Linked DNA regions of Sus scrofa. The protein of the gene in region 1 interacts with the protein of each later gene in a pairwise test. Links are inferred from orthologs where the notes say so. Each region holds a gene or a part of one and is shown in the gene's direction. Other genes may lie near its edges.

Region 1 (3,686 bases):
TCCCGGATAGGATTCTCTCAAGTAATCAAAACCACAAACCCTACTTGAGTCCCTGTGTTTCCAGGAAGGCAGACCTCGAGGTATTTGGGTCCTGGAGCACACATGGTGCACAGCTCAGAAAGCGGTAAATGAACCGACTGCACTTGGAAAAAAACCTTTTTTTTCTTTAAGGTAATACATTGACATTTCAAAATTCAAAAGATACAAAAAGGCATATATGGGAAAGTGTCTCTTCTATCCTGGACCCTCGGCCTTCCCAGAAAAATTAGAATTCTCTAGTAATCTAGAGATAGACGACGACAATAACCTTTTATCTCACACTGTGCCAGGCAACATTCTAAACGCTTTGCATGGCATTAACTCTAACTTCACTAAACCTTCTGAAGTAGGAATCACTGCTCTTTATGAGTAAACACAAGACTATAAAGCTAACTCATACATTTAACATCCTAGCCCTTCCCTTTTTTTTCCAACAGATGTACTCTACACACTGTTCAGCACTGTTTTTTTTTCACTTCAGAATGCATTTTGAAGAGGATTCCCTTTTTACATCTAAAGTGTTCCACTGTATGAATGTGCATGTCATGATTTGCTACCATTCCATTAAGAAAATTCATCTGAGCAGTGCACAAGTGACCCAGGGAAATTTCTAAAATGAGTGTGGGAATGCCAACTACCGTAGGGAGGAGGGGCAAGGTCTCTGGCCCCACCCCCACCGCACTTCTACAGGCCCCGCCCCCTGGTCCGTCACGGAGGGACGCTCAGAGTCCTCGGAGACAGCCGCCTAGAAGGGCCGGAAGTACTTCATGGCGCTCACCGATACCCGCCCCTCCGCTTCCGGCATTGGAGGCGGGGACTCCCTGCTGCAGTTCTCCGTGTCTGGTTGGTAGGATGGCGCCGGGCCGATGCGGTTATAGCTGCGATAGCGGACGGGTGCCAAGCCCTTCCACCCTCCTCCCTAGTTTATCCCCAGTGGCAGCCGGTGGTGGGGCCAGGCCTGTTTCGTCTGTGTTCCTCTCTCCCTCTTATCACAGAGGCGTGGACCTCGGTCCTTGTAGCCCTCCAGCCCTATTCCCGAGTGCCTGCTAGAGCGTCCCCTTACCGTTTCCTGTCATCCCCCCCCGGGGGGGCATAGGGTGGGAGGGGTTGGTAAGAAAGGGGCGTAGCGCAACTACGGAGGGAACTCGCGAGCTTGGGTAGCTTTTAGCGCCGGAAGTGTTGAGAGGGAGGCCGGAAATGTGGGGGCGGAGCCAGGAAGTGAGGATGGGCGGGGGTTTATGAGGAGGCCAAGGGAGCGTTGAGGCAGATTTGCACTCAGTGCCACCTGAGGGACTTGGCGGTAGCGCTCAGCTTTGTCCCCTCCCCTCTCAGGGACACGGTTGTCGTCTAGGAGTAGGAAACTCTGTGTGGACGGGTGGGTTGTCGGGAAGACATTTCTCTGGCCGCGCTTGAAGCAAGGTGTGGAGAGGCAGGGCTGGGGGTGGGGCCGGGTCGTCAGGGCATCTGAGAGGGAAGACCCCCGCCCCTCCGCCCCCCACCGCCCATCTACACTGGCTGACTGGACACTAAGATGGCTGCCGTTGCCATGGCACCCAACCCTGTGCAGACCCTTCAGGAGGAGGCGGTGTGCGCCATCTGCCTGGATTACTTCACGGACCCCGTGTCCATCGGCTGCGGGCACAACTTCTGCCGAGTGTGTGTAACCCAGTTGTGGGGAGGGGAGGATGAAGAGGACAGGGACGAGTTAGACCGGGAAGAAGAGGAGGAGGACGGCGAGGAGGAGGAAGTGGAGGCTGTGGGGGCCGGTGGTGGGTGGGACACCCCCATGCGGGATGAAGACTATGAGGGCGACATGGAAGAGGAGGTTGAGGAGGAAGAGGAGGGTGTGTTCTGGACCAGTGGCATGGGCGGGTCGAACTGGGACAACATGGACTACGTGTGGGAGGAGGAGGACGAGGAGGAAGACCTGGACTATTACTTGGGGGACATGGAGGAGGACCTGAGGGGGGAGGATGAGGAGGACGAGGAGGAAGTGCTGGAGGAGGACGAAGAAGAGGAACTAGATCCCGTCACCCCACTGCCCCCGCCTCCAGCCCCTCGGAGGTGCTTCACCTGCCCCCAGTGCCGCAAGAGCTTTCCTAGGCGGAGCTTCCGCCCCAACCTGCAGCTGGCCAACATGGTCCAGGTGATTCGGCAGATGCACCCAAACCCTGGTCGAGGGAGCCGTGGGAACGAGCAGGGCATTTGTCCCAAACACCAAGAAGCCCTGAAGCTCTTCTGCGAGGTGGATGAAGAGGCCATCTGTGTGGTGTGCCGAGAATCCAGGAACCACAAACAGCACAGCGTGGTGCCATTGGAGGAGGTGGTACAGGAGTACAAGGTGAGAGAACTAAAAGATGGGAGTTTAATGGGGGTGGAGAGTAAGAAAGAGGGGCTGGGAAAAAAAAATATATGTCTTCCCTCTTCAAAGAACCTCATGTACTGCTTAGCTGATTCTCCTTACCTAAGCACTTACTGGCACCAAGATGGGTTAAATGAGAAGGATCCTACACAAAGTAGACACAGTGGAGAAGACCAGGGAAGACTGGTTTCCTCAAAGGAAAATGGACAAAACTGGTGATGCCATATCACTGGGCATTGTGTCCTGGAGGAAAAGCCACTGCAGTTTTACATGTCCACTGTTCCTAAGTATAGGAGTGCAAGTGACAACCCCCAAGGGCTTTACCACCAGTCTCATTTATCTCTGAGTCTTAAATCTGTCCTTGACTAAGACCCCTAGAAATGGAAGGAACTTGAGCTCCTGAGGAGCAGGAGTGTAGTATTGACTGCTAGTATCAAACCCAAATGGTCTACACTTCCTTTCTTTTTTTTGCATTTGCTTTCTGTTGCAATGGATTCTCCACCCATCCTACAATATGTCTTGGTTCTCCCCTTGAGGAATTTTGTTGGATCTACATCATTCTGATGTACTGGCCAGGACTTCTTATCTTTCCTAAGAATTCAGGAAAAAAAGGAGAGGCTTTTAAGTCAGAAGACCAGCTCTTGGTCTCTCAATGTCTTTGAACTTTAATTTTTCCAGGATTAAAAGTTAATATTTACTGGACACTTTATATGTATCCTGGCACTGTACTAAGCACTTTTCATGGACTGTCTCACTGAAAACTCCAAACAACTCTATGTGGTTTGATATGGTTTCTATTCCCGTTTTACAGATTGGGAAACAGAATCAGAGAGATTTAAGTAATACACAGAGGGCCACACGGCTACTAGTAAGTGATGGACTTGGTTATGAGCCCCCTGCCCTGCCCACGTTGCCTTTGGCCTGTACTGTTAACAGTATCACCACCATTTGGATATCTGTTTGTTTGACTTAACTGACATGTGACTTTTCTTCTTGGAGTCTGATTCTAGTTTAGTTAATACCTTGCCTCCGACTTCTGATCCTGACTCAGGTAAAGGAGATTTGTCCATGACACAGCCAGCAGAAATAACATTATTTAGCAAAGGCCCAGATGAATTTGAAGTAGTGGGACCAAGAGAAGAGGGTAGCTTCTTCTGTGTGGTCTTCACAAAGCTTTTTTTTTTGGTCTTTTTGCCTTATCTAGGGCTGTTCCCATGGCATATGGGGAGGTTCCCAGGCTAGGGGTCTAATCAGAGCTGTAGCCACCGGCCTATGTCACAGCCAC
Region 2 (3,751 bases), on another chromosome or scaffold:
AACAAAAGAGCTAAATAGATATTTTAGATATTTACTAAAAAAGGAACTGCTTGACAAAATAATTTAATACAGTATAATGTAAAATCATGAGGCTTCCTAATGCTTTTCATTTTTTTGGCCCCGCCCACAGCACGTGGAAGTTCCCCAGACTGGGGATGGAACCCACACCACAGCAGCAACCTGAGCTGCTGCAGCGACAAAGGGGGATGCTTACACCACTTACCACAAGGGAACTCCACTTTAAATATTTTAATAAACGTTTTTATTGAAATATAATCCGATTGTATTTTGGAATAATTGTATTTAAGTTTAACGTAAAGATTTTTAAGATCGCATTCACTGCACTGGGTAAAGTAGGATATAGCTGTACTTTACTGCCAGGGATAAAAACGTGCGTTGAACTGAGAGATATTGTTATCTACAATATCTAGTAGTGAAAAAGATGTAAAATGATGTGTAGATTACATGCCAAGGTTTTCTCTAAAATAAGCCCGCTGTGAAAGTCAGTGGCACGCCTGTTCAATTCAACAAACATTTAATTAGTGCGTATGGTTTGCAAGGAACCGTGTTGGGTACTGAGGAGGAAGCCAAGATAAACAGCATCAGCTGGAGGGAGACAAGACAGGACCCCAGTAACTAGGCTGCAAAGCAGAATAGAAAACGTAAAACATAGGAGAACCTGGTGGAGCTTAAAAATAAACTTTTCCTGCCTGCATTTCCTTTTTTTTTTTTTTTTCCCCTTCTTTCTTTTTTGTCTTTAGTAACTATTTTGGATCCCTGTTCACCTGTGCCAAGTCATTTGTGGGCAGAGAATTCGCGACTCGGCGAAATCGCCGCTCTTCTGTCTTCTTCCTTTCTTCACATATTCGATGAGCTCCTCTGCCACCAGCACCGCATTTGGAATAGCATCTATTGTGTGGGTGGTGAAGCGATGGAAAGCTATTTTTGTTCTAATTATGAGAACTGGTTTATTGGGAGAAGGGGGAGGAGAGGCAGATCAGAGATGGAGATGCTGAGGGAGGAGGCGTTACTAAGGTTACTAGAAAGAGGATGGCAGGTGATATGCAGGCAGAGTTTCTTCTAAAACAAAACAAAATTCCAAACTAGGGGCGTGGGTTTAGTGTGAGCAGTGCCACACGGTATTAGATGCTGTGCTCCTGAGATGGAAATGGAAGGATGCTGCCTCCGCCTTCCCCCTGCCCCCGGTCCTGTTCTTCCGCTGCTTTTGTTTCCCGGGACTGTTATCTCTGTAGCACAAGGTTGGCGCGCCTGAGAACGGTGTCATTTAAGTGAGACGCGTGGCCGAACCAGACCGGAAGTAGCGCCCAGTCGGGACCCGTAGGGAGAGGCAGAGAGCCGGTGGTGGCGGCAGCGGCCGCTCAAGCTGTGACTGTGGTGGCGGCTTGTGGCGAGGCTGCGTGGCAGCGGCGACCAGGCTGGTGCAGCAGCGGCTCGCTCAGACTGTGGGTCGCTGTTGCAAACCACGATTTTGTGGGCCCACTTGGCAGAGCTGGGAGGAGGGGAAGGGGTGTGTGAGAAGGGCGGTGAGTGTATTTGGAGTCGGAAAGAAGGGCAGCGAAAGTTGTGTCTCTTATGCTACTAGTTGATTATCTTTCTCTTTCCTTTTCTTTTAAAAAATTTTTATTTTTTAATGTATTTTTATGGCAGATTCTGGAGACACCCGGCGTCTCTCTTCTCGAATTTCTCTCGGCCCTTGTAGGTGGATTCGTAGCCTGAAGTGAGTGAGAACTTTTTATTGCAACCACTGAGTTCAGATGGGTATGGGAAAGGTGAGCGAAAAGGAAGACAGGGGTAGTAAGGGTAGGAGGTGGTGTCATAGGATGAGGGAACAAGCTGATGATAGCAATAGTAGTTAACCTTTGACAGGGTTTTACTGTACCAGATACTGTTCTAAAACCCTTTATATGTGGTAACTCAAGTAATGCGCCGGCCTCTGAAAGTGGAACTCTATTAGCCTCACTTTATAGATGGGGAAACAGGCTCCCAGAACTTAAGGAGCATGCCTAAAGAATACTTGAAAAGTGCAGAGCCAAGATTTGCATTCTGGCAGGCTGATCCCAGAACATCTTTCTAAGCTCCCCACAATGGTTGTCTTCCATCAAGATGTGAGGAAAGTGGGAGACGTGGGACAAGGCGTGAGAGGATGTTATGGTTTTAACAGGTATGATGAAACAGCTGAAGCAAGTTGACATGGCAAAAGGTATGAGATCCAGGTGTGTCATTACTGTGGCCTAAACCTTCGCCTCTGACTTTGGCTAGGGCCTTTCTAGAATTCTGTGGGACAGGGAGGAGACATACACACTCATATACTTTTTAAAAATTTCCATGTTGAAAATGGAATTATAAAGATCACAGACTCAATAGGATGTAAGGATAGTTTAATTTAGCACATAAAGCCCAAAGAATGAAGTAATTTATTCAAGGTAGCTAAGACTAGAAACATATCTCTTCTCTTAGGTCCAGTGCAGTGAAATTTAGGGGTTTATTTCCTATTCATGCTGTACTTACTCTAGTGAATATTAGAGTTTAAAAAGTTTGATCTATCATTTGACCAGGATTGGTTCCTTGTAGTCATATGAATTAGGGATTTATGACAAGTAGTCAAATAATCCCATTAATGTGTGTCCCAAATTCAATGTAATACTGAAAGCAGGTGCTGCTTCTAACACAAGTCAGGGACGATTGAGATCTTTCAGTATTTCTAATAATTTTGATTTAAAAGTGAATTGAAACAAGTTAAAGTTGTCTAGAACAAAGGGCAAGGTGTCTTACCTTGAAGAAACTAGGTTTACAAGAAAAAGGAAATCTCTACACATATGGAAAGAGAATAGGAAAATCTTTGTCAATTGATTGTCCTACTCACAAATCCAATAAGTCTAATGGAATATGGTAATCAAAATGTTAACATGTTCCAGAGGCATTTTGTAGTAGTTGAGATCATTGAGCTTAAGATTCAAGTAGATTGGCCTGATGTAATTATAGAGGGGGAAACAAGCTCCCAGAACATAAGGAGCCTGCCCAGAGAAATTATATTTTGTGTAGTCGATTGCTTGTCATTTGATTTCTTCATCTCTGAAATGAGGTAATAATTCCTAACTTGTAGAATTAGAAGCAGTTTTTGTAAAGAATCTACCATGATGCCTGGAACAAAGTTGATGATAAATACACAGCAACTGTCTTTACTCTTGAGTCAGGAAAAGCATTGCTGAGCCTTGTTTTCAGTGACATGCCAGCTTCTAGACCTGATTTTCAATGGAAAGATCAAAGAATGGTTTCTTTCACTTGTTGGCCTAGTGGTAATTAAGGTGAAAAACATAATTCATTCTCTGAAGGAGTAAGTCTGTTACTTCAAAGTGAGCGAAAGGTTTAGATGGCTAGATAGCCCCTGAACAGTGATATATCCACCACTATTGTGGCTTTTTTTGGGGGGGGGGGTGCTTTTTAGGGCCTTATCTGAGGCATATGGAAGTTCCCAGGCTAGGGGTCAAATCAGAGCTATAGCTATAGCTCTGATTGAACCCACAACCTCATGGTTCCTAGTCAGATTCGTTTCCACTGTGCCATGATGGGAATTCCTATTGTGGCTTTTAAAGAGAACTTAATTTTGAACTATGGGCAACTTAGTTTCTAAGTTATTGGTTATACTTCTTTACAGATGCATGGTCATGGAGGGTATGACTCTGATTTTAGTGATGATGAGCACTGTGGAGAATCTAGCAAAAGGAAAAAA
Region 3 (3,651 bases), on another chromosome or scaffold:
TTTTGGATTACTCATTTTATAGGCAATAAAATGCTGCACTTGCTCTTCTGGGGGCTTATTCTTAACAGGACAGCTAGCAGGGTAGGAGTATGTGTGGTGGAGGGAGGCAGGAGGCTGGGAGTGGGAAACAGAGTGACAGTTTGATTTTTTCTCTTTATTGGTTCGGCTTGACAGATGATGTTCTTTCTACCACCTACCTAACTTTGTCTCAGCTCCTATAAAATAAGAGCCTTCTACTTCCATGGAAGTAAATCATTTCATCCTGAAGTCTCCCTGTAGCTTGCCTGGAAGGAAAGTAGGGCCTATTGGATGTTTCTTTAATGATTTCAAATGAATAGGATAATATTTACTTGTTTAATTCATCTTCATCACCTTAAAGGGATATTTGTCATTTCTACCAGAGGTCACTGTTCTGCCTCCCTCTTCCTCTCCCTCCCCCATCTCTCTTCTCTTTTTCTAAATTATAATCATAAATAATGAGTTTCATTCACAGCTCCCTGCCAGCGAGCTGCTAATTACGCAAAGTACTGCTTGTAATTTACACAGTAATAAACTGTAAATTTAAACATTACGGCACTTTAAGTTAATAATTTTTCTGCTGTAACAAATAGCTCATTTTTCACCCATCTTTTCCCTTGGCCCGACTCCCATGGTCATGTCTGAGCCAGAGGCCTAGGTGTTCGGGATGAAGAGTATGAAGAATACAGTGTGTGAAACCATTTCATTTACAAAGTCTGACCTCAACTTAATTTTTCTATAGCTAGTTCTGCTAAAATGTGTATCCTAATATTTAGGCTAATCCATACACATAGATGAATACAGATAACAACATTTGCCCAGAAACAAATGTCTTTGAGTAACAGGCTTGCCATTTTTGACATTTATGCCCGTGACTTATGCTCTCATCTTAACACGCAGACGTGCGTAACGCTTGCTCATGTACTGTTGGTATGCTTCCCTAGGTTCTGTGATAGGTAGGCATTGTAAATGTACTCAAGTTAAATGAAGGGTGAGTGCCTTATGCCATTTTCCAGTTTTTTGGAGATGATTAGTTTCTGAACTATTTGTGGTCTTGTGGGCATAACTTCCTATTACAGTCTTGAGAACTGCAGATTTAAGAACCAGTCTATACAAACACCTATTTTTACTTTAAGAGATGATGTTTAACAGACAAAATAAAGGGTGACGATTTTTGTAAGTAACAAAAGTTCTTTGATATGTATACATTTAGTCAGTGGATACTTCAGTGTTACCAGTGAGTACTCAGTAGATGTCCCATTATGAAGGCTCTTGAAGCTGTAACCATATGACTAGGGAGCTTGGTGTGGTGGCCTGTTAAAAATTAAAAATTGGCTGCTGTTGAATTTTTTTTCAAGTGTTTCTATTTTGATATACCTTAAATACTCCAGGAAGTATTACTCACTATATTAAAATATTATATATAGTAAAAACATGTTTATAGTGACTTTTTTTTGAACACTAAAAAAAAATAAATCTAGAATAACATGCAGTAGTTTTACAGCAGGGTCCTACAAAAAGATACATAGTTTGCTGTTGGGTTTTAGGATTGAGATTTGACATGTGCCTTTGGGGTTGTTGGTATAATTATGGGAAAGTGTGAGCTTGACAACAGGTCATACTTACATATTTGTTTCTGTGGTTAGATGACACTCTTGTCTTCCTTGCCTCTTCAGGAGACCAGCATAAGTAATTTGGGTACTGAGAGGATAAGCCACCTCATTAGTGATCCTCGGCAGAAAGAGTAAGTGCTTATGTATTTACCGGCTATCAGAGCTTGTCCTTGGAGGAGGCAGCAGAGGGAAGTTTTATTTTAGAACCTGGAAATTTTCTTTTAGAGCTGAAAGAGAACCTCTTAAAGATTGATACTTTAAGACACTTAACATGGCTAACACCCAACATGGCTAACACCCTGAACTCATGAGAGATGTTTTTTCTTTCCAGGCTAGTTTTTATTTCTTTGCTTTTTATGTCTATAGGTGATACATTATAAAAGTAGCTTCCAATAGGATGTTATTTCTTAAACTAATTTTTCTATCTTTAAAAAAATTTTTTGTTCAAAATGGGTGATTGCCTCTATATTCTCCTATATGCCTTTCCCATTTTTAGACCTCTAGACAGAGAAATACCATTTCGTTCTAACTTCTGTGCTAAGTGCAATTGGAAAGCGTATGTGTAGTGATAGGAAAATCATGCCACCCTTTCTTGTGACAGCCTTGTCCCCTAACATAATTGGCTTTCTTTTGATGTCTCCTGTACATGTCATGGTCAGTGTCCAATTATGATCCTACACCCATCCAGCCTGGTTGAAGTTTATTTTTTTTTTAAGCTTTTTTGTTATTGTTGTTGCTTTTTAGGGCCACACCTGAGAGGCATATGGAAGTTCCCAGGCTAGGGGTCTCATCGGAGCTACAGCTGCTGGCCTACACCACAGCCACAGCAATGTGGGAATCTGAGCCGTGTCTGCGACCTATATGAAAGCTCGTGGCAACGCCAGATCCTTAACCCACGGAGGGAGGCCAGGGATTGAACCCGCATCCTCATGGATCCTAGTCAGGTTTGTTAACCGCTGAGCCAGAGGGAACTCTTGAAGTTTTAAATTATAAAATAGGCAAGACGTGAATGTTGTTTATGCCCTTGTTGAATTGGGAAGCCTGTCTTCACTGCACAGCTAGCTGAGAGTGCATTGGTGATAGACCATAATCTTGAGTTTATTTTTAGTGTCCAGTCTGCTGCATTCCATTCTTTTTCCTTTGAAGAGTTATTCTCTGGAGGAAAAAAGTTCATATACATTTAACATCACCTTTTCTCCTCTCCATTTTTTTCTCATTCTTTGTCTTCACTTTTTATCTTTTCCTCTCTATAATTTTCCTACCATGTCTTTTATTGTTTTCTTTCCCTTTATTCTCTCCCTCTCTTTAGTTTCTGGTTACCATCAACTGGGAAAAGAGAGCGAAATCAGGTAAGATTGCTTTTCTGTTTGTCATCTTTATTTTATCATTTGATTTCCTTTTCTTTAGAAAGAATAAAGCGTTGACTTCTGATTTTCCTCACATTTCTGCTTGTGCACATGAGGTAAGGTTCCCTTTCCTTAAATTATTCTGATTTTCTTGGAGGACTGTTTTCCAAGAATATCTTATATACATGGATAAGAACTGTAGCTAATTCCCCTTTTTAGGTTCAATGGCGACTTTCAGTTTATTACTTGTAACACATTCCATAGGAATCCAGTTTTTATTCTAATTTTGAATTTTGCAGTAAGAAATCAAAAGGAACCTTATCTGCTTATGGTTTAGTTCAGCATCAGCATAGAGTGCTAAGTACAATGTTGAATCCTAAACGTGAAATAGAAGGTAGAGCTGCTTCGGGTGAAGGGCAGTTGAGGCCTTAAAGCCTCTTACTCTTCTCCCTAGCTACCCCTGAGGGGGCCTTGGCATTTCTAATATCAAGGCCTTTATAGGGGTCATAATTTTAAAATTGCTAACAGTGGTTCTCAATATGTTCCTTTAATGTTTGAAGCTTTTGATTTTTGTTGGGTGAGGGCTTGCTTTATCTTTTTTTTTTTTTTTTTTTTTTTTTGTCTTTTTAGGGCCTCTTCTGCAGCATATGGAGGTTCCCAGGCTAGGGGTCGAA

The links.
Region 2: the proteins of TRIM41 (region 1) and FRA10AC1 interact in binary tests that used the Homo sapiens proteins (3 or more experiments, as listed by UniProt). The two-hybrid records come from large-scale screens. The link is inferred for Sus scrofa from reciprocal best matches to the Homo sapiens genes TRIM41 and FRA10AC1.
Region 3: the proteins of TRIM41 (region 1) and GPATCH2L interact in binary tests that used the Homo sapiens proteins (3 or more experiments, as listed by UniProt). The two-hybrid records come from large-scale screens. The link is inferred for Sus scrofa from reciprocal best matches to the Homo sapiens genes TRIM41 and GPATCH2L.

What each region holds. Positions count from the first base shown.
Region 1 is NC_010444.4:57,292,874-57,296,559, reverse strand, and holds the start of TRIM41 (E3 ubiquitin-protein ligase TRIM41), read left to right. Parts: upstream 1-788; 5' UTR 789-1,570; coding exon 1,571-2,380; intron 2,381-3,686.
Region 2 is NC_010456.5:105,167,414-105,171,164, reverse strand, and holds the start of FRA10AC1 (protein FRA10AC1), read left to right. Parts: upstream 1-1,310; 5' UTR 1,311-1,463; exon of another isoform or gene 1,464-1,544; intron 1,545-1,668; 5' UTR 1,669-1,738; exon of another isoform or gene 1,739-1,775; coding exon of another isoform or gene 1,776-1,790; intron 1,791-2,182; exon of another isoform or gene 2,183-2,221; intron 2,222-3,676; coding exon 3,677-3,751. UniProt on the Homo sapiens protein: May be involved in pre-mRNA splicing.
Region 3 is NC_010449.5:99,345,983-99,349,633, forward strand, and holds part of GPATCH2L (G patch domain-containing protein 2-like), read left to right. Parts: intron 1-1,694; coding exon 1,695-1,762; intron 1,763-2,940; coding exon 2,941-2,980; exon of another isoform or gene 2,981-3,038; coding exon of another isoform or gene 3,039-3,093; intron 3,094-3,651.